Linked DNA regions of Schizosaccharomyces pombe. Changing the gene in region 1 together with any one later gene gives a genetic interaction. Each region holds a gene or a part of one and is shown in the gene's direction. Other genes may lie near its edges. The genes, in order: msa1, sam1 and nrd1.

Region 1 (9,216 bases):
AACGTACTGATCTACATTACCATAGTGTCTTGTATTGTTGGCCTTGCAAGTGAAGTGCTATTTACTGTTACTATCAATAAACGCATCTTTGGTTCTTGGTTACCATACTTTGTGCTACAAATTTTATCTCTCATAAGTTTTTTTTCTTTTTTTTTTTTTTTTTTGAAATTTTAAATAGATAACAAGCCGAATTTCGAGAATTTGCTTGTCTTGATCAGGTAAAAAAGGGTAGTTGCTCCGATCGATCGAGCTAATGATATCAGTAAAGATCAAAATTTAGGAGAACTTCCGCGGTAGCGGATTTCTCAGTCAAACATAGTACTACAATAGATACAGAAAAGAATTGCTTAGCTATGCAAATATTTACTCAATGAACGTTGACTGAAGTAGCTTCATCTCTTGCATGTGCGTTACGGCAATGCATATGCATGTATCGGGAGTGAATAAATGAATAGAGATGTTGACAAGCGACAAGAAAATAATTTTTATAGGTAAGAAAGTTTTTGATAACTTTTTCTAACTGCTCAACCATTGCTATTGACGAAGTTTAGATGGATGTTTTTTTCTTAGGATTGCTAGTGGTAATCGCTATTTTCACTAACGCTAAGCGTTACAGCTCGTTTCGCTTTTTATTCCCATCCAAAAACTTGGACCCCAATGAGACAAAGTGGGGGTGGAATATTAGAATTGCGACTTTTAGATCGTTACTGAATACCATTCCAAGTATCCCACATTGGAGAACCATGTGGGGAACCGTTCGAGTTGGTATTGTACATACCCCGTCGGCCAAGGTAAGAGAGCGTGTAGACTGTAGTTACTACTTTTTGGCTAGAGGATTCAAAACTCAAAAATAGCTCTTAAAAATAAATATAGAAATGAATTAATTCAAAAACATATAATTTTTCTTCGGGATTCCTTTTTTTTACAACAACAGTCATTTCAAGTGCTTTGACTTGACAGACGCAACATAAATAAATAAATAGAACACTTTGATGCAAAGTATCGAATTCCAACATATCTCTCTAGACTGCTTTTCTATTAAAACCATGACTACTAGTGTTTCCATATAAAAATATAAAGAGATCCATCAACAACTAATACGTACATATTAGATTTTGCATTCCCAAATTGCTTCGTTATTTCACATACACCCATTTATTTAAAACGAGTTAAGAGTAACATCATTTGAAATCAACTGAAACATTTATATAAGCTGATTTTTCACAATCTTGCTATTTCACTAGTGTGGAACCTGGAGCTGCTTCATAGTTTTATACAATAGCATAACAAAACTCCAATAATCTCATTTATACTCTGACTCACCAAGTCGATGATGTGTATCTATTTAGGTTAAATTGATCAATTATATAATTGTTTCTCATATATTCCCTTACTTATCGTATTTATTATTTATTTATTTATTTTTATTTTTTGGAATATATACCGTCTAATTAATAATAACATGATTCTATCCACTACGTTATAAATAATGTTGGCTAAAAAAGTTTCTTTACGTAAAAAAAAAAAACAAAGTCAAATTGCTTTGCATACATGTGTCCAAAATTTACGATTATTGAGAATGATAGATAAAATCATAAATAAAAGTTTTGAAAGTGATGGAAGTTGCAATTTTCTTTCTTTATTGAAAACTTGTGCATCCATTTGTATTAGTAAACCAGCTTGGATTGTTAGGTAACTGTTACCCCAAGGGCATCTGGTCTATACGACTTGAGTGGTGCAAATATCCAAGTTGTACCTCATGTCTTCCAATCCGCTATAGCGAAGACGATGTTTGGTCGGAACGATTCTCTCCATTCATCGATTTTCTTCAGCTTCTTCTAGCAACGCTATATATATTCGTGCTCTCCGCCATCTGCCTCTTAAACACTCGTATATCGTTTATCCTTTCATTGACGGTATTCCTTTGCAGATATCGTAAACGAGTTTTCATAAAATTTAATCCTTTTTTGTTTATCTCTTACTTCCTTTGCCCATTTCCATCTCTTCACATAAATAAGTACGATGCCTCGTAGACGTTCTGCCGCACCTCCTCCTCGCCGTGCAGCTCCTGCCAGAAGTGCTTCCACTGCTGCTGCTTTACCTCCTAGGACAATGGCACCTCCTCCTGCTCCTAGTCGTGTGCAACAGGCTCCTCCTCCCACCGCCGTCCAAGGAGGCAGCTCACCTGGATTCTTCGGCAATCTGGTTAGTACAGCGGCTGGTGTTGGTATTGGAAGTGCTATCGGACACACGGTTGGCAGCGTCATAACAGGCGGTTTTTCTGGAAGTGGTTCCAACAATGCTCCAGCTGATACTAGTGTACCTCAATCTAGTTACAGCAACAGTGTTCCAGAAGCCGCTTATGGTTCAGCACCTCCATCCACCTTTGCCAGCAGTGCTATTTCTGAAGAGGCGAAGAATGCTTGCAAGGGCGATGCTAAAATGTTTGCAGATTGTATAAATGAGCATGAGTTCAGTCAATGTTCTTACTATTTGGAACAGCTAAAGGCTTGTCAGGCCATGTGGTCCAACCAACAATAAGAGGCAATGAACTAATTTATTTATTTTTCTATTAAATAAAAGTTATGCCCAGTTTGTTTGCATCAGCATCAGCATCGAAATTTTTTTTTTCATGTTTCTACTAACGAGAACGTTGAACCCTAATAGCATTTGTTAAGCAGTAAATAATAACTGGTTTCCCTGGTATAAGACATAGTATAAGAACGAGAAGAAATAAATCATATATGGTATTTTTTTTGTTTGGTTTAGTAATGAAGTTCTTTTTTTTTAAAATGGCCCAGTAATAAAAAAGTTCACGAAGAACGTAGTTAGAAAGCTTGATAAATAAATTAAATGAAATCTATGCTCTTTAGAAAGTTCTATGATCTGGCTTGGAGAAGAGTAGTACATAACAGTATGGTAATGTAGTTAGAGCTTCTCTTAACATGCGTACGTTTTCATACCTCTTAATAGTAGGGATGGTTCAGTTCATACAGCTACCTAGTTCACCCCATCAATCAATCAATCAATCGATACAGTCACTCTTCAAAGCATTTTGAGAGTTCTCCCACAGATTTTATGCTAGCTGGAGTTCCGACTTGTTTATTAAAGTAGGAAGGTTGGAAGCGAACCATATCTAACAAACTTTTTTCAAAACGAAAATTAAAAGCAAATTAAACTTTCATTGTCTTACGTCCCATGTTAGGGGGGGGAAGCAGCTAAACAATGATGATTTATAGATGGTTGCCTCGGCTATTATTTACTTTGTTTCATATCTGAAAGAAGAGTAAGGGATAGGATACGCCAAAGATCCACCATAAAACGGTTTATCAACAAAAGGATCATCATCGAATTTGGTTTATGAGTCTTTCAAATGTACTCGTGTTTGTTAGTTTAACATACTATTGCATCCACTAGAGATAGTTAAGAGAAGCTGATTTACAAATGATCGGTTTCGACATGTCTGCCAAGTTATACTTTTAACGTATTACCAAGAAAAAAAAATTTACGGGACGGGGATTCCATTCTTGCTGCTTTGGTTTATACTGTAAGCATAACAGCAATCTTAAATTGAATCGTCTTTGCCAAGCGCATTTGTAAGAGTATTGTATGCTATGCCACGCAGTGCATTTTCATATCCAACGCTACATACAATTTGTTGTTACTCTTTCTGTAGACCATTTCGGAACGTTGATTGAAGATCGGAAAATTTAATGTTTCGTCCAGAAATTGTCTGCATATGTAGTATCACAGAGAGTGTCAAGTCATATCTGACAGCATCAGGTTAATGAGCTTAATTTGGGCCAAAGGCGAGCTAGAAAAGAAGAAGAAAAAAAGAAAAAGTAAACAGTAAAGAAAAACATATAACGACTCTTATTCATCCTTCCTCAGCATTCCCTTTTTCATATTTTTATCCCATTCTAATCCTAGTCTAAGAAATGCTGGCGATATAGACCGAGTCTACTGGTGTCTGGAAAGGAACATAGCTATATCTATATATAGATATAGATATAGATATGTATGTATGCTTGTATTTCGTTGGCAGTTTTCTAGTTTAACTAGCAAAATACAAGAATTAAAATTAGTATTAGTATTATTATTATTATTTTTAAACATTTAAACATCGACTAATTTTTTCAACATCTGTTTTCACTTTCAAGTATCGACTACTTTCTACATTCCAACGATCCATTCTTTATTATAGATTCACCCTTTTCCTCGATAAATAAGCACCATTACACATACTTAAAATTTTTGTTTCAAAGGGAAGCTAAACTGTACGACGATGTTTATCGTTATACTCAGCTGTCACTTATCCAGAACTCACTCCATCAGAGTGCGTGCATTTAGCTTGCTCCCTGCACATCCCACTACAAAGTGTTAGAGATAGGCAATCGGAGTTAGAATACCGAGACTTTATTCCAAGGTAAAAACACATCTAGAAATGGGGACAAACAAAGAAACAAAAGGTCATGTGAATGTTAGATTCAAGGGGTAGAGTTCGATATCTCAGCAAGCGATTCCTTTTTTTTTTTTTTTTTTTTTTTTTGAGAAAACCTCGGTACACGCTAAGCTGGCTTTTCCTATTGTTACTCCTTTTACTACTAGTATTATACTATTGCTTTGCTTTGTTGAATAAACAGTCTATAGAACGCTCAAGAAAATACGACGAAAATAGTTTATTCATAGCTTGACAAACTAACTACCTTTGTTTTGTTTTGTTTTTTTCTTTTCTTTTTTTTTTCGTTTCTTAGCTTGGCTATAGCTTGCGTATTCTGTCTTTGTCAGTCATTAATCCAGACAGTAATATAACATATTCACCTTGTTCTTTTAAAGGTCTCCCTTTTTTTCTTTGTTGCTCATCTAGATTGTGCTTAATTTTTTTTTTGTATACTAATCAAAATTCAATTTATTTTTCTTTAGTTATTTATTTGTTTTTTTTTTCGCTTTATTGGATCCTATTGTAAAAAATCATCTTTTTCATTGTGCTTGCAATTTACCTTTCTTTGACGATTACGCCTTTGTTCACGACTTTTAGCATTCTTCCTTTTTCTATCTCCATGGGGCCGTTGTTAACTTACTCCTAAAATTTGTAGTTGCTTATCTTCACAACCAAAGGATGCTTCGGTGCAGCACCCAATTTTTAGCCCATTACCCTGTGCCCAATTCTCAATGTCTCATCATTTGTCAATACTAGCTTGTTCCTTATACTCCCTGTAACCCACTATCTAAGACATTGTGGAGAGGGAAATGTTGGCAGTAGTGATATACTTCCGAATGGACAATTGCCTATCAATCGTGGTAAAGGAGAATGGCTAGAATTTAGTAAAATGATATGGCCCAAATAGAACGGTAAAATTACTAAAAGATTGAGGATTTGAGGCAGCGTCTTGGTCGTTTGACTAATTATTAGAGTGTAAGCAGGATTCGGATGTATTGCTCCTTTAGTTAATCATATCGTCTGGTTTTGCTCCCTAATGTCCCTTGTCCTCTTTTATGCCGCCTACATTACCGATGAAGAACACGTGTTGAAATCCCCGAGTTTGCAAGTAGTCTTGATATACAATGTCTTTTCCTCGTATATTCCGAGCAGATCTAAACCTTCGTCGTGAATAACCCCCTTCTTTGCTTTCACCTAAATCAATTGCTATTCGAGGGTTTTCGATTCTCTCCTTTCTCCATTAACATACTAAATTCAATTTCTCTTTGTGTGGGTTGCTTCCTTTTTGCTGAGACGTCTCCCCGTCTTCCATCCTGTCTTTATCAGTTTTGTTGCATTTCTGATCACCCATTTTTTCTTTTTTTCCTTTTCTTTTGTTATCTATCGAATACCTCCACATTGCTTGAAATACTAGTGAGACTGCGTTTACCTTCTCTTCTCATCTGATTCTGTCTGTGCCATTGAGCTTTCCTTCGCTCTCCTCTTGCACCTTTTGTTGCGTTTACTGGCTTCTTTATTTTTATTTGTTTTCTTTTTCACCTCAAACTTTCTCTGTGTTCAGCTTTTCGAGATATTCAACTGCAATTGTACTGCTCTTTGATTCTTTCACCTTTTTCAATTCGAACTTGCTACTCCCTCAAGCTTATCCAATTATTTTTTAGCTTCCACTTGAGAAGAGTTCTCTCTATCCATCACCCAAAAACTGAAATTTCATCTTTGTGAAATTTCTTTCACGGTCTGATCACCGTGCAAGCTATTTCTATTCCCCATTTTACTTTTCTCATCATCTGACTCTTATTCTGGAAATACTCGTTTCCCCCACTCAAATATATATTTATTCTTTGGGCTTTCCTTAGACTATTGTTAGACTGCAAAGTCTCGTTTGGTTTACCTACTGTCTATCTCTGGTTTTGGTTTTTCATTTTCCATTTCTGTTTCAGCTGGTTTCTCAAAATCTTCATCCTTTCTTTCTTTCTTTCTTTTGACTCGTCATTTTTAAGAGCCATTCCATTTCTTTCTTATTTATACGTGTATAATCTCTATTTTATCTTTGCATTTTTGCACTAAATTACCATACGCTTGCGTTTTTTTCTTTCCCTATTTCTGCAATTTTATTACCTGAGTAAAAGTTTTCCCATTCGTTTTTTCCTATCCCTTCTTTGATCAATTTTATTTATCTTTTCTTTTGACCAAATTTTTTCTCTGGGGTTTTTTTTAAACTTTGTTTTGAAGGAAATTTTAAATTAATTAACTTTTAACTTTTTCAGTTGAAATACTTTTCATTCTTTTTTCTACGCAGCTTTTGGATTGCTGTTGACACATCATCTCATAACTATCTATTGTATTCCATATAATCGACTGATACGACCTCCATCCCACTTTGGCGCAGGCATCTCGTATAAAGTTTTGTCTTTTTAATTTGATATCAATCCGGCATCCTTGTTTCATGCCCCTTTATAGATCCTTTCTCATTCCAAACTTTTTTTTTAAACACATTATTTAAAAATGGTTGTTTCCTCTCCGTCTGTATCTTTATTGCATTCTCCTGTCGAAAAATTATCAGCCCAACTCGAAAAAACAACGCTTTTACAAGACATTCCCCCAGGTTCTTTATCCGAAAATGATAATTCCACTACCTTTATAAAGCCTCCTTTGGAAACTGCATCATCAAGCACCCCTATCCCAAGTTCCTCTTCCAGTGGAGTATTAAATCCGTCGTCTGTCCGTGGAAAACCAGTTGCCTGTTTATTTGTTGCTAGCTTAAACTCTTCAAGGTCTGAGGAAGAGCTGACTGCCACTGTTAAAGATTACTTTCAACAGTGGGGTCCTTTGTTGCATGTCAAAGTTTTGAAAGATTGGTTGCAAAGGCCTTATTCTTTTGTTCAATTTCAAAATACTGATGATGCATCGAAAGCACTTTCTGAAGCCCAAAACACGATATTGGATGGCCGTCATATACGTATAGAGCGCGCCAAAGTTAATAGGACAATCCGTATATCCTCTGCACCCCATCAACCTTACATTACAAAAAAAGACATAGATAACTTATTGGAACCTTATGGCGAGGTTGAAGATGTCACGGAAATACCAGATCAATCCGCTTTCTTAGTACGGTTTGTTTACAGGGATGAAGCAATCGCAGCCTATACCGCGCTTAAGCATTCTGCCTGGCCTGTACTTTGGGCGGAAAATGTGACATATCAAAACGGTCACTATAAGAAGAAAGGTTCCTCCCCGTTTTCTCCACCTAACGCACATAGTCGAAGGCGAAAGTCGCAAGGCAAAGATCAGTCGAACACTCCTGTTATCAAAGCACCTGCCCCTATTCCATTCTCAGTTTCTTCCGATCCTCCTTCTACCATGGGAAGATCAAATTCCGCGGTTCAAAGTCCCTCATACTTTGCTCACTCATTGGTCAATTCTACTGAATTCAGTACTCCTAATGAATCTTTAAGCTCCTTACCGAGTATATTACCTTCAATACCCTCTTTAGAAAGCGGCAAGGCCGAACTCCCAACAGATGGTTCTTTTGAACAGCCTGGATATCCCATGAACCCCTCTATGATGTTTGCTGCAATGCCTCCACCGATTGATCCTTATTCTATATTCGTTGGCCAACTCGACCCAGTAAATTGCACACACTACTTACTAGTTGATCTATTTTCCAAATATGGAAAGGTAATCGATTGTAAAATAATTCATCAAAGCAAGAAGCCTGCTTTTGCTTTTCTAAGGTTTGATTCTCAACAAGCCGCTTATGCTGCCGTCTGCGGTAAGACGAGGTCCCCACACCAGAAAAAGCCTTTGCGTGTTGAATTTCGTCAACTAAGACCAATGCAGCAATTTTCCCCTCAATATCAATATCCCTCCTATCCATATCCGATGTTTCCAGCGCCATTTTCACCACCTCGTAATGCAATGATGCCAATCCCTGCACCCATGGATCAGTTTTCAACATTTCACCAGTCAATGGCTACCCTTCCTCCTGGTGCCGTTCCCACATCAATTCCTCAGTCGTACTATCCCATTTATTCTCCAGAAATGGCTATGCCTCAATCGTACAGTCCGATGTATTATACGCATAACCCACCTATGGATGGGAATTAGATTTATTTTGAATTTCCCTTCATTATCTGATTGAGGTTTCACTTCTTTATACAGTCCTTAAGTGTCGGAGTTTTTTTTATTAGGTACATATTCTATAAAACACTAATAATTATCTAATTTATTTTACTTAAAAGATGCAAATTGGCTGCAATTATATTTAAAAGATTTAGAGTCATAAATGTTATTATGTTCATATATATGTCTTCTATATAATTTTACGAATTAGTGTAACTCGTAACAGTTCTCTACTTTACGCATTAACGATATAATGATATTAGATAGAAGTTTATTTATATATGCTCCCAAATATAGATGTTCTCACACATGTATCGTATACACTCTAACCATTTGATTATTTTCACTACATAAATTTTTACAAAAATACTATATAAAGTCAATTCATTTTATGAAATTTTTAATTTGAGGCTGTAATATTACGTGAACTTTTTATTTTGGCTTACTGGCGAACTGAAAAAAGAAAATTAGTTTTTTTTTTAACAGACCTCTATTTCATAGCTTTAGACTTTCTCAAAACACTAGTTTCATATAAATATTCCTTATAGACACTAAATACAAAAAAAGGTTCGTGAGGTAAAGAACCAGAAAAAGAAAAAAATTATAAAGACAGGACAAGCATAAGTTTACAAGGGACTATTATATACGGGGTA
Region 2 (6,558 bases), on another chromosome or scaffold:
TAAGTACACATCAGCAGGCATACCCAAAGCTAAGCAAATGGCAACACGTTGCAATTCACCACCAGACAAGTTCAATACCTCTTGATCAATGATGTTGTCAATGCTAAGAGGCTTGCAAACTTCACTCTGAAACTTGCCATTCAAGAAAGCAGCACGAATCTTTTTCAAAAACAGCATACGAACGGTACCTTGAAATTTAGGTGCGATTGTTTGGGGCTTCATGCTAATCTTCAAATCCGAGTTCTTAGCCATCCACTTGCAGAATGTAGTTTTACCAGTACCATTCTCACCAAGCAATACAATAATCTCAGCATCAGAAAAACCACCAGACTTAATTGTAAGCTTGAAATCACCTTGCTCAATGACATGATCGGGATAATTGTACTCCGCAGTTCTGTCAGCGGTAATTTCATCAGATGCGTCAGCAAGACGGAATGTCAATGCCTCAGAACGGAATCTCAAATTCTCGGTAGGAATATGACCGTCAAGGAAAATATTAATACCTTCACGAACAGAATAGGGGAGAGTGACAACACCATACATAGAGGGGACGCCGTATAATACACAAACGAAATCGGAGAGATAATCAAGGACGGAAAGATCGTGTTCAACAACAATCACATAGTTGGTAGTAGCCAACAAGCTGCGGATTACACGACCAGCTTTGAGACGTTGTTTAATATCCAAATAAGACGAAGGCTCGTCAAACATGTAAACGTCAGCTTTTTGAGTGGCTACGGCAGCAATAGCAAATCGTTGAAGCTCACCACCAGAAAGATGGCCAACCTCACGATTTAAAAGATTTTGAAGATCGGTGTGATCCATAACTTCTTCAAAATTATTGTTGTTTGCACGAGCTTTAATTAAACCAGATACAGTTTTGTCACCAGTTTTAATCGCCCGTGGGATATGATCAACGTATTGAGGTTTGATAAGAGCCTTAATGTTATCTTCAACAACTTTGGTGAAAAAGTTTTGAAGTTCACTACCACGGAAGTATTTGACAACTTCAGCCCAGTCAGGAGGATTATCATAACGACCTAAATTAGGCTTCATTTTTCCGGATAGGATCTTTAACGCAGTAGACTTTCCAATACCGTTAGTACCAACTAAGCCCAAAACTTGACCAGGACGAGGAGTAGGCAAACGATGAAGCTTGAAAGAATTAGCAGAGTAACGATGGGTTACTTCACTTTCCAAGTTAGTGGGCAAATTAATAATGTTGATAGCTCCGAATGGACATTTTTTGACACAGATACCACAACCAATACATAATGTTTCACTAATAAATGCAATGCGATCGGTAGGATTAACTTCAATACACAATTTACCGGTGCGCACGACAGGGCAAGACCGGCGGCATTCTTGCCGACATTTCTAAAATATTGGTGAGCAAACTAATAAAAACCAAACATTCTAAAACCAGAAGCATTAAAAGCAAAGGAAAGTTTCGTAAGCAAGCAATAAAACGTATTTTAACGTGACACAGACCACTTTGAAAGTTTATTTAAATTTTCGGTCCTTTACCTTACAAGAACCTTTAGATTCGTTTAACCAACATATGGTGACAGCCAAGCCAAGCAAAAATTTACTACTAGTCCGAAAGTGCTTGGCAGATCGTAACAGGATCAAAAAATCTGAACAGAGGTACAATCAGGGCAGTTAAAATATGTTTTAATACTTGAACAAACAAAATTTGACTCAACTCTTTTCGTGGAAAACTTTGTGCACACACAAAAAAGCTCCAGTCATCCACAACGAGTAGACTATAACCTTCTACTAATAAAGCTCCTTTAATTTTTTTATTTTCTTACCTTTGGTCTACACTTATCCTCACTAACAATGGCGATTCTAGTAAGACTTTCGCTCATGGTGTTGAGTAGGGTGCAGTTGGCAAAGGACAACTTAAGGTGCGCCCAATTTTTTGCTTGTACTACCAGTCAACCTACTACAGTTTATAAAAATGCTACATTACATTTCGAATAAAATAAATAAAAAAGATAAATTCAAGTTTCTGAGACTGTAGAAAGATGTATTTTCTTAAATCGTCATTACGAAAATTTTTTATTGCCAATACGGACCTAGCGCTAAGTCATTGCCCATTTAATTGCAGACCAAATAATTGGTCAAAGATATGAAAGTTTGGAAGAGCCAGTTTTTGCAATTAAAAAACATAAGAATGAAGAAAAGAAAAACATCCTTCAATCTGCATAAATACTTATAAGATGCACATTGCATTAGCACACTCAATGCCCAAGTCCAGCCAATATCTAAGGGGACAGCTGGGTTTATTATATATTCAAGCTTCTTTAAATATCTACTAAATTTGCAGTATATAGTTCATCAATCGTAAACATAATTGTAAAAATAAATTGACAGTCAAAGACCCTTCTACTTTTACTTCAAATTGAAAATACAGCGATTTATCAAAATACGAAATACACTTTTTCGTGCTTTCCTTATTTTTTTAATTCATTACAGTCTAGCACTATAAAAAATTTAACATACTATTACCCCTGCTTTTAAATAACAATTGCGCAGAACAATTTGTCTCTACCAGATATCACTATTCTAAAATTGCTCAAGAAATTGAAAAAATGGCGCTACCATCCTGATAAGCAGTCACAACTATAATCAGCATATAAGGCTAAAGAATAACCTTACTTGCTTTACGAAACCTTGAGAGCTTCTTTTGACGAAATTCGCAAGCATATCTACATTTATTAGATTCATTGATAAAGAAGGGTTTTCATTGTTTCCTTATATTTGACGAAACTAATCGCTTGTCTTATTGTTCAATCTTTTCTAGTTTTTTGATTCCATATTTCCTTTACAAGTATCTTGGATTCCCCAATGGCTCAAACTTTTTTGTTTACTTCTGAATCTGTCGGTGAAGGTCATCCTGACAAAATTTGCGACCAAATATCTGACGCTATTTTGGATGCTTGTTTGAAGGATGACCCCTTTTCCAAGGTAGCATGTGAGACCGCTTCCAAAACCGGTATGGTAATGGTTTTTGGTGAAATTACTACTCGCTCACAAATTGACTACCAAAAGGTTATTCGTAATACCATTAAGAGCATCGGTTATGATGACTCTGAGAAGGGTTTCGATTACAAGACTTGCAACGTCCTCGTCGCCATCGAGCAACAATCTCCTGATATCGCTCAAGGTCTTCACTATGAGAAGGCTTTGGAAGAGCTCGGTGCTGGTGACCAGGGTATTATGTTTGGCTATGCAACTGATGAGACCCCCGAGAAGTTACCTTTGACCATTCTCCTTGCTCACAAACTCAATGCTGCCATGTCTGTCGCTCGTCGTGATGGATCTCTTCCATGGTTGCGTCCTGATACCAAGACTCAAGTCACTATTGAATATGAAGAGGAAAACGGTGCTGTCATCCCCCGTCGTGTAGATACCATCGTCGTCTCTGCTCAACACGCTGATAGCATCTCTACTGAAGACTTGCGTTCTGAAATTTTGGAGAAGATCATTAAGCCTACTGTCCCTGCTCATTTGTTAGATGAGAAGACTGTTTACCACATCCAACCTTCTGGTCGTTTCGTTGTTGGTGGTCCTCAAGGTGATGCTGGTCTCACTGGTCGTAAGATTATTGTTGATACCTATGGTGGCTGGGGTGCTCACGGTGGTGGTGCCTTCTCTGGTAAAGACTACTCCAAGGTCGATCGTTCTGCCGCCTATGCTGCTCGTTGGATTGCCAAATCTTTGGTTGCTGCTGGTTTGGCTCGCCGCTGCCTTGTCCAACTCTCCTATGCTATTGGTGTTGCTGAGCCCCTTTCTATTTTTGTCAATACTTACGGCACTTCTTCCAAGACATCTGCTGAGCTTGTTGAAATTATCCGCAAGAACTTTGACCTTCGTCCTGGTGTTTTGGTCAAAAGCCTTAAGCTTCAAACTCCTTTCTATCTTTCCACCGCTTCTTACGGTCACTTCACTGATCAATCCAAGCCTTGGGAACAACCTAAGGAGCTTAAGTTTTAGACAGATAGCTTAGTGCTATCATTAGCTTTTCTCGTTTGTTACGTTAAATACGATTAGAACATGTAACGAATTCTCAGTTGATGGCTTTATGGATACATGGTTTTCTTTAAAGATGAAAAGATTTTAGAGTTGTCTTTATTTATTCTATGTTTGCTTCTTTGTTCTTCAATTGTGAAAGATATATGGTTTTATATGTTAAGTCCTGGTTCAACGGATATGTATTTTTTTTTGGACTGGGTAGGCACAAATTCAACCTTTGTGTTTATGACTGCATCTCGAAGCGGAAAATACACTAAGCCAAAAATTTTTTTGCATACCGACATGTTAATGTTTCTTTTACCGATAGGCTTAGTGTTATTTGATGCTTTTCACGATAGTTATTATTTGCTGACTTTCAACTAGTTGGCCACTTTCGTTTAAATTGAGTTAATTATATGTTAATGGATTTGGTTCAAGACATAGTGTTTTAATCGTATAAGAACGAGTACTCATCTTCACTGTAGCTAATTTAGCTCGCTCACTTGTAACAAGGTGCATGCACACACAATACAAGCGTTTTGATTTTATTGTAATTTGTAATGAATTGAAAATGTCAAACTTAAAAAGGTAGACAATCATTCAGCTTTCAAGATGATCTGTGATAGTAAATGTCATTGGATTAAAACACATTGCTTGCTTACATTATTGTATTTATGGAATAAGCGATGGATTCTCAGCGATCCTAAAAGTACTTAGAATTATATTGGTCTTTTTTTTTGTAGTATAAATATTCAAAAATTCTTCACTAGATGTCTACGGCCATACCTAGGCGAAAACACCAGTTCCCGTCCGATCACTGCAGTTAAGCGTCTGAGGGCCTCGTTAGTACTATGGTTGGAGACAACATGGGAATCCGGGGTTTTGTAGGTTCCTTCTTTATTATTGCTGTTTGGTTTTTACCTTCTCTTTTGGAGCATATTTTGAGTACTGAATTGTGAATCTCAAATTCTATAGATGTTGCTACTCGTTGATTAAGCAATGCTAGAGCAGACTTTGAACTCTCAAATCAAATAATTAAGAAGTTTATGAAAGAAGGCTCTTGTCTTTGTCATGGGTATCGTCAAGCAAAATTCGATGTCTACATCAGATATTGTATAGGAAAATTATCAGATGAATTAGGAAGCATTGTCAACATGCAGAAAGAAATACGGTGTACCATAATACAACATTTGGAATATTTACTTCAATCTGCTAAACTACTTTAGAAGTCAACCACATAATATGGTATTGTCAGCAATACTGCACTACGATATGACATACTACGTTGCGTATCACTATATGTCACATGTTCAACATCAGATCATAGATATCCGTTGATAACAACTATTAGAAAGATTATAAATAGAGCTACAACTGAACCTCGTTCCTCAATTCAGTTATGAGCTATATCGGTGACCGATACTAACAGACTTCTTATAACAATAAATATACATTGTTAGTTAACATACCGCATACCGCTACATTGTAGATCGCAAGTAAAAACTCACCGCAGTTCTATATATCGTTAAAACAGATATCAAACTGCGTAGCTAACCAGTATATATTATAACAATACATGAACCTACGGTAAGTTTTCCTTGTGATCTATATATTGCAATATGTAAATAACACAGTAGCAACTGAATAAAAGGTATTCTAATATTTGAAATGTATGCTTTATCTTTACTGAAAAAGCCTTAGCTAAAGTGGAGAACGAGATTCAGTTCATCTCAGTTTACACTATGAATTGCTAGTATTGTAACAGCTAGTTATCTTATCATATTATATAATAAAATCTCTAGCATGAAAACTTATCACGTTAAGTTGGTAGAGTAAATAAAACATGGGACATATAGTGATACGCACGAAATGAATACACAGAGTATGTTGTATTGTTGATGTCGAAAAGTGTGTCTTCATGCTGTGAAAAGAAGCTGTTATCAAAAAAAAACGTTTGTCCAAAACGTAAATCCAGTAAAATGTTTTTGCTACATTAAAAGACACTTTAGGAATGAAGCATGATAGTAAATTAGAATTTCATCTGAAACTAGCAGATATTGATCCTACACTTTCCAATACTGCACTTAACAATTTACGAGCAAAATCTCTCAGTATTTGCTATTCAGCTATTGCTTGATGTCTGTTGCAAATGTTGAATTGACTTTTAAAAATTTTTTGAATCTACTTGACGAGCAAAAATCGCTAATTTAATTAACGTTACAAAAATTAATTTAAGCTGCTATTGAATGTACTCCAGCTAGCTGCATCCTTCTCTGCAACACTTCTCGTCGTATCGATAACAGTGCCGATGCAAACCTTAGCTTTGCAACCTTCACATTCGTTATAGAGGCAAACAAAACAGCACTAGGTGGAAAAGGAGCAGCGAACTCCCAACCAACCCACGTTCGCATTATCACTCCTTACTTATGTTTTACGAATTTAGTCGCGCAATTTGTTAAAGATACGTTTACAAGCTTTAAACTTCTCGCTTATGGCGACTCTATTTTTCAAAGGCTCAATGACGAAAATATTCGGCAA
Region 3 (8,322 bases), 1.8 Mb from region 1:
GGATCAGTGTATATTGTTAATTAGAGAATCAAATTGCTTTGTGAGATGTTTCCCATCGAGAGCTGAGTTAGGTTCCCAAAATTCTACCTCTTTGTCTCGTAATCTTTCCACAGTCAATCCATATGATGAGGGTAGCATAATTAAGAACTGTAAGACATTTTGGAAGCAAAACTTTCTTAACGATGGTCGGCAAGATGAGGCAACAAGACATGTTTAAATTGTTGTCGATTAAAAATTTAATTATAAACATTAAGAATGGAACGTTAGAATGCCTGATAACGTTAAAAAGTTATCACTTCATCATTTAATTTTAATCCCTCCACGGATCATCGTTGCGGGAGTGTTGAGTTAAGTTAGACTAGAATATTCGCGATTCACTCTGAATCTCATTAAATGCTAGCTATGTCACGTATCGTGAAATCCTTGATTTGTAGAACGGCTCGTTTCTTATTCCAAGGTCGTTGGACCCTGTTGCAACGTGAGGGAGGATGAGATTGAAACAAGTAAAGGTTTACTTGAACTTCAAGTTTTCTTGTGTGCGTGTGAACTGATGAAACCTGGCGTCTTGCTATTAATTTTTGCAATGAAAAGATTTTTGTTTCATTTTTGCTATGTAGAGATTGGCTATATATGGCTAGATCATAATTTTTGCAGAAAATTGGGCTTTAGGATTGTTTAATCCAACAAAAAATATCAATCTTTTATAGCGGCTCAAGTGTTCTTGTTATCTTTATGAGATACGCTTTTGTTATTTAGAAACGTGTATAGGTCTCTAGTTTTTCTTTTCTTTTCTAGTGTAAGAAATGGGTAATGGAGGATTCACGAATACATTACAATAAGACTATATTAGTAAAATAGAATACAGTTAAGTGGAAAAGATTACAGAAGAAACCAAGTCATTAGTAGTTCGTTGAAGATATCGCAATGTAGTTTGAAACCTAATATCTGCTTCTTTACGTGTTCTAATTACTTTAATATTAATTAATAAAACAAATTGTATTGCTTTTTTTTATGAATAAGGACAATTAGTGCTAAACATTAAGTATACAACCAAAATTTTTACGTAAACTGACAAAATTTACAAACAATTTAAGTAGAGTGTTATGAACGAGCATATGCCTTTTTTCTACTTTATGGCATTTGTTTCTCTGCTAACCCGAGTTTCTAAAAAAAAAAACGAAAGCCGATGATCACGGTGAATCAAATGACTAAACGCCTTGGCCGGTAAATATGTAAATCTCCGTAGCAACCTTTACGCCTTGACAATCGTTAGTTTGCAGAGTTGAAGAAAAGTCGATATGTTTAGGTCAATAGCTACCGAGTCTACTTTTCTACGCTACAGCGGCATTGAAGTTAGCAGAAGACTCAATTTTGCAGGAGACTATTTAGCTATCTGATCAGTCAGTGTAATAATTAGAGAGCGCTTTCGCTCACCCTTCTTGGCGGCCACCATAAAGCGACTCACAGCGAAATTGTGTATAGAGATTAAGCAACAGCGGAATATTTTGATAAATACAAATTAGATAGTCAATGAATTACTAAGCTGAATAGAATGAAAAAGAAAGAAAAATCCAAAGTGAAAATTGACAGTTACTGAGCTTGTCTACGCCCCCTAAATTTCACGCGGAAAATATTCCTCTACCGTGCAAGGCGGAGACTTTTGAACAATGTGTTAGCTTAGGATTTAAGTCACATCTTAGCAAAGCGTTCAGGGAAGAAGACATACGGTCAAAGTTATCATTTTTGTGTGATTTTCATTATTTATTGTTGCACGAGATAATTTAAATTTTCATGCAGAAGATTTATTTTTTTTTTTGGAATTTATTCTGCTCGGCCAACATTCTTGATTATTCTTGTTTACATTTTTTTATGAGCGGCTTATCGTTAGATATCACTTGTCACTTGGCACTACATGCTTTTTTCTATGAATTATTCCTTTGATATCGACTAATCATCTGAAATAGCGAGGCGAGATTTCGACAGAAGCTTTACCCCCATAAAAATTTTCGTTGTGTTTATACAAAGTGGAAGATGATTACATGTCTGCATTTGTATCAAGTTAGTCTAACTATTTGCTTGAGTCCCACGCTGCTTAGCACACAATCACATACGTACGTGGGCGAAATTGTGTGAAACTCTCGGGGAGCCACTTCGGCTGCTTATTTATTTACTTTTATTTACAACGCGGCGTTGATGGAAAAATTCTAAAACAGTGTGTGAAAACTTGGTTTGCGCGTGCTTGTTAGTGGGCCATTCTAATATATGTCTATACTGGCATATATTTACTTTATTTTACCACTATTACTATTTAACTCATTGCCGCAATCCATACAAGTGCATTCTTTTTTGTTTGTTTTCGTTGCCATGCTCGTTGTCAAGTGTTTACATTCGATTGTGCACTCGCGCTCTGTCGTTGAAGGAACATCCAGAATTAATGTTACCTTGGGCGGCATATTCACATGTTGGTGTACGCTGGATAATCGTTAATGGCATGTAGCTTGTTTCTCTCTATAAGCACGCAGTAATATTAGTGCAGTAACGAAAAGCCGTTAACGTGCTCACTACCAAATACTCAACCACACGAATAGCCGCTGGCTATATCTAATATTCTTTCTCTTTTCATTTCTTTTTTCTCAAAAACATATTTCTTTCTCTACCATTTGCATTTATATGAGTGTATTACTTTGAAGCTTTGATTTTTTTTGTTTCGCGGTATACTTATTGATTATTCGCTAATACTGGTACTTGTTTCTCTTATTTTTTTTCTGTTTCTCCTTTATTTGCTTTTTAAGCAACCTTTTAAATCTACCTGTGAAATAAATATCATCGCCTTTTTTCATTTTCTTTTTTCATTTCCACATTCTTTTCTCTTCTTACTCCTCTGTGATACTATATTTTGGGTCGTTAGAACGCATTGACTTCAATCTACTTTCTCTTCCCTGCATTTTTACCAAGCCTTCCGAATATATTTATTCCAGTTTTTCTATATTCTTTTTTTTTATTTTTTTTACTTCCATTGTACTCCTCATAATCATTATTATCTTGGAAATTTAACTTTCCCTTTTCATTTTTTTCTTCTCTAAAACTCCTTCTTTCACTGTCGACCATACTGTTGACTTTTCTCCTCTTCTTTTATAAGATAAAATACACTTCTACGCGTCTTTAGAATTCTTTGATTGATTATTCTTTCGTACTACTTTGAATTGTATACTTTGCTTTTTTGGTCATACTCTTGTTCATTTCACTTTGTTTTATTCTCCATCAATTTCTTGGAGTAAGTCTAATACTCTTGTTCGGTATCTTTACTTAGTAAGCTTAATTTTTTAAAAAATTAAAAAAAAAAAAATTTTTACCATTGTTAGGCTCATATTCCTTTCCACATCATTCAAGATTTTGTTGAGGTTGTTGTGATCTGCTTGTTTCATTCGCATTTTTTCCTTCCATTTATTCGCTTTGCCTACGTGCCTCTCAGTCTAAGTTTCCTTATTCAGTTTGGGAATTACGAGTTTTCTTATTTTTAGAATTAAAAAATACGTTGGACGTTGACAGTTTTCTTTTGGCTAAGATTTTCCGTTGCTATTAATTATTGTCTTTCTCGTCTAATTGAGTTTTTTAAACAGACTTGTTGTTAGCTTTAAGCGATATTGTTTAACTATTCATTTATTACCCGCTTGGATTTTTATCGTTAAACGCATCATAAGTTGCCTCCTAAGTTCGTGAGCTTTATTGGTCCGATTTTGGTTTTCGATATATTTCAAAGTGATATAAATTGTAAGATATACCCCTTTATTATTTGTTACCAAACGTCACTCTCGTTGATTTCTTTATTTTACATTTCTTCCTTTGTCAATCAAGCAGCTGTGCTCTTAGTATAATTCTTTCTTTAACAGTTATTGATTTCGGTCATTATGTCTTCTAGCAGTCCCTCTAGTCAGTCCCGTCTTTCTGTCCCTGGAAGAACTCCACATTTACCACCACTTACTATCCCTCATACTGTAAGTGCTGAAGGTCTCGCTACACCAAACACACCGCATGCTCTACTCCCTACCGGGCTTCTTATGGGGAGTCCTTTTGTTCAAAGCCCAACGAGCTATACTTCCATGCATGGCTTGCCCTTTAGCACTACCCAAATGGCAGCGGCTCCCGCTCATCCCACGACTGGCTATAATGTTTCACGTGTTACCAGTCCTAATGTTGCTAACTTTGCCCCGGGTTACTTTCCACTTCCGAATAACACTACACAACCTGTTAAAACTGTGTATGTTGGTAACCTTCCTCCCAATACCCCTATTGATGAGATTCTTTCTTGCGTGCGTACGGGACCAATTGAATCTGCATGGATTCTACCTGAGAAAAATTGTGCCTTTATTTCCTTTTTGGATCCGAGCCACGCTACTGCCTTTTTCCAAGATGCTGCCTTGAAGAGATTGACAATTCGGGGTACTGAAGTAAAAGTTGGTTGGGGCAAGAACTCAGCCTCGAATTCATCTGTACTACTTGCAGTCCAGCAATCTGGCGCTTGTAGGAATGTATTCCTCGGCAACTTGCCGAATGGTATTACTGAAGATGAAATTCGTGAAGATTTAGAACCATTTGGACCTATTGATCAAATCAAAATCGTAACTGAACGAAATATAGCTTTTGTTCATTTTTTGAACATTGCAGCTGCAATCAAAGCTGTCCAAGAGCTACCATTAAACCCCAAATGGTCCAAACGGCGCATTTACTACGGACGGGATAGATGCGCTGTGGGTTTGAAGCAACCTGCTTACTTTTCTAAAGGCCAAGTCGGCGTTGTTGGCGGTTATCCCGTAATGGGGTATCCTCCCCCAAGCCCGGTTCTCCAAAAACCGGATCTTATCATGACTGGGAATCGCACTGTTTACATTGGTAATATCCATGCTGATACTACTATTGAAGAGATATGTAACGCTGTTCGTGGAGGATTGTTACACAATATTCGTTATCTTCAGGAAAAACACATTTGTTTCGTAACTTTTGTTGACCCTGTTTCTGCTTTTCGATTCTTTGAAATGTCCAACATTCATGGTTTGGTCATTCGCAACCGTCGTTTAAAGATAGGTTGGGGTAAGCATAGCGGCCCTCTTCCCTCAAATATCGCTTTAGCCGTTGCTGGTGGTGCTAGTCGTAACATTTATATTGGCAATGCTGATGATTCTTTGACTATTGAACGCTTAAAAGAGGATTTTGAGGAATTTGGCGAAATTGAGTACGTCAACTTTTTCCGCGAAAAGAATTGCGCTTTTGTTAACTTTACGTCGTTGGCAAGTGCGATTAATGCGATTGATCGAATCAAGCAGAAGAAGGGATATGAAAACTATCGAATTAGTTATGGTAAAGATAGGTGTGGTAATCCACCTAGAACTAATTCCAAGTCAGACGTTCTTTCTGTCTCTTCTGATATGAGCATGCCTGTTGATCTCGTTGTTCCTCAGCAAGGAATATCCGGGTTTATGCCAACAAACTCCAATATTTAAATATTGTAGAGTGTTTTGCTCTTAAACGTGTTCGATATTTTTATGGATAAAGGTTTTCCAGCGCTTTGAGTTCATATCAATTTGTGCTCATAAAACACCTTTTATTGACGAACTTTTTTATTGCTTATTTTACAAAATCACTTTCTTTTTTACATTAGATTATTAAGGGTAACCATTTGCATTCGCATTACAAAAGAAAAAGTATTCTTTTGTTTAAATGACCTTACTTGCTATTGTTTCAACATTCCTTCGTTTTACTTTCTCTCGTTTATGCCCCTTACTCAACGTGGCCCATACTCTTTTCTTCTTACTTTGTTTCATTTTTACGCATTATAAAACCTTCATTGTTGAAGTAGCAGTTTTTTTTTGTTTTATTTGGCATTTTTTCTACTATGTTAGAGGTTATCGAGTTTGTATTTCTATCAAAAGCTCGATGTCCTTCGTTTTTGATTCGTTTTTGCAAACAATATTGACGAATCTTTCCACATTTTCAATTACAGTTTTAAAATGTACTTCTGACTTCTATTTTTATTTTTTTTTTCATTCTACATATTCTTATATATTTATGTTTCGATTTTCAACGTTATTTCTTTATCAAAAGTGATTGCTGAAGACTTCAACGGTGTTGATTAATACTTAACAATAGCTTTAATTTGATTGTCTGGTCATATTTAAATGCTAGTTTGTTAATTATGGTTTATTTGTCGCGTTCTAAATGCGTTTTTCAACCCATTATTGTCTACTAGTTCCAAACCGAAATTGTTCTAATGATCTTATGTATATATTTTTGGTCTAGGTAAATATACATCTCTTCTTTTGCTCATCCTACACCGTCGTTGAGAGATTGTACAAAGTTCGGTAATTAATGAATGCAAACATAACAAAACTCTACCGTAGTAATGAGTTTTGAAAAGGCATCAGTATTTGAGTCTCTATTTATATTGTGCGTTTGGTGCTGTAAATGTTTTCCTCATTTATTAGAACAGCTGAACATTGTAGCACAATCTAAAAACAGTTTATTCAGTTTCATTGTATAATGCAACTTAAACAAGTATCTAATTTACACTATTTGTAAAATGAAAGAAAGACAACGCATCTACCACTCTAACTTACGAGATCCATCCATAAACATATCAAGGGTCGCCTCATCAACTTTCGAACGTGCTGCTTGAAAGTCAGAAACGAACTGCTGTAAAAGCTTAATACACTCTCCTTTCATTTCTCCGGTTGAAAGAGTACCAGCCTTATAGGTATTGTACAATTGTTTCAACTTCTCGTCGTCATCTAGGAAAAAAGAAAGATATTGATATGCAACATCAACGTCTGGGTTACCTCCTTTTTCACGGTGGATTTCGATTGTAGCGCCACCTCCAGAGAAAGCATGCCTGTTGATCTTATTTTTAATTTTGTTTGGAGTATCAGTCATGAAAATCGCAGAAGAATCTTTACTGGCACTCATTTTTGATTGTGGTCCTTGGAGAGCTGGGAAAAAGCGACTATGCAAAAGTGCAGGCTTCTTAAATTTCAACCTACCAGAAACATCACGCGTCAAGCGGAAGTAGGGATCCTGGTCGATTGCACAAGGAATCAAACACGGGATATCTTTGGCGCCATTAAAGATATGAGGAAAGGAGCTGCTGAAGCTAGGAGCGGCTTGAATTGACGCAAAATGTATTTTTCCAATAGAGTCACTATCGGTGAAGCCGAAACAAGCCTTGGATTGGTTTGCAGTAATGCATTTCGCAATACGAACGACATTTTGATAAAACGCACCTCCAACATAGGTACTGTTCATGAAAATAAAAGTCTTTTTTGGATCAAACCCAACAGCAATAATATCCTTAGCATTCTCACGAGCAAATCGTTGGCAATCCTCTAAGGAAACACCTTGCTTAAACAAGAACTTCTCATCGTCCGTTAACTGGATGACCAATGGCACTTGAAAAACATCCTGAAGCCACTTGCAAAACATAAAAGGAATCATATGGCCTAAATGCATGCTGTCACTACTTGGTCCTCTACCTGTATACAAATAGAAAGGTTTCTTCTGCTCATAGCGGTCCAAAATCATATCAAAATCACGATGGGAGAAGAAAGCACCTCTACGAAGTAATAAATGAGGCTTCTTTCCAGTTAGCTTTTCGAAGCGCTCAAGTTGTTCAGGAGTAATTTTCCTAGTGCCAAATTGAACGATTAAGCGCTCATAATCGATTCCTTTCTCTTCACCATCGACTATAGAGCCTTTTACATCCCAGGGCGTCACAATTTGTTCCTCAACAGACATTTTTCCTCTTCAAAAAGAAACTGTTCAAGGCGCACTACGTTCGCAGAAAATTTTGTTGCTTGGCGGAGGAAGTGGTAAATCAGACAAAAGCGATGACTAACTTATCGCCAACAAATTCGGTAACTTCATAATTTCTTTAAAAAATTTCTGTTAGTACTGCTGATTCCTTTATAAAAATGTATTCATTATAACTGTTTCTGGGTGCTTAAATTAGTTGAGATAGAGCGTTCGAAAAACTAGCGCAGTTGTAGTGTCTCTAATTAAAGCCGATACGAAAACTTAAATAAGAATTTGAATAAATGTATTACAAAAAATATGATTAAATATAAACTGATATATTAGATTAGTGGGACCGCTGCCATCAATAGTAAAGCTATCATAAACAACTTTTGCAAACTCACAATTCTATTTTTATATATAAACCCATGTCCAGCACAAGTGTTGTTTTTTAGAGACAGAAAAGCTTTTCAAAGTCACTGCATTGCTTCCATTGCTATCTGATCCATATTTTTAGGAACAGTCAAATCTTGAAGGTTTGAG

The links.
Region 2: of msa1 (region 1) and sam1, extra expression of one rescues a mutant of the other (dosage rescue), as found in Schizosaccharomyces pombe (one study listed by BioGRID).
Region 3: of msa1 (region 1) and nrd1, changing one enhances a phenotype caused by changing the other (phenotypic enhancement), as found in Schizosaccharomyces pombe (one study listed by BioGRID).

What each region holds. Positions count from the first base shown.
Region 1 is NC_003424.3:2,317,970-2,327,185, reverse strand, and holds msa1 (RNA-binding protein Msa1), read left to right. Parts: upstream 1-4,360; 5' UTR 4,361-6,946; coding exon 6,947-8,548; 3' UTR 8,549-8,694; downstream 8,695-9,216. Other genes in the region: SPOM_SPAC6C3.03C (uncharacterized protein), read left to right, coding at 552-854; mix17 (CHCH domain-containing protein), read left to right, coding at 2,023-2,541. UniProt on the Schizosaccharomyces pombe protein: Negative regulator of sexual differentiation. Acts by repressing the transcription of meiosis-inducing, ste11-regulated genes.
Region 2 is NC_003423.3:4,159,972-4,166,529, reverse strand, and holds sam1 (S-adenosylmethionine synthetase), read left to right. Parts: upstream 1-2,671; 5' UTR 2,672-2,853; coding exon 2,854-4,002; 3' UTR 4,003-4,461; downstream 4,462-6,558. Other genes in the region: Fe-sulfur ATPase Rli1, read right to left, coding at 1-1,377, 1,815-1,871. UniProt on the Schizosaccharomyces pombe protein: Catalyzes the formation of S-adenosylmethionine from methionine and ATP. The reaction comprises two steps that are both catalyzed by the same enzyme: formation of S-adenosylmethionine (AdoMet) and triphosphate, and subsequent hydrolysis of the triphosphate.
Region 3 is NC_003424.3:552,723-561,044, forward strand, and holds nrd1 (RNA-binding protein Nrd1), read left to right. Parts: upstream 1-2,563; 5' UTR 2,564-3,908; coding exon 3,909-5,498; 3' UTR 5,499-6,329; downstream 6,330-8,322. Other genes in the region: palmitoyltransferase Akr1, read left to right, coding at 1-217; tryptophan-tRNA ligase Wrs1, read right to left, coding at 6,595-7,782; exosome subunit Rrp4, read right to left, coding at 8,256-8,322.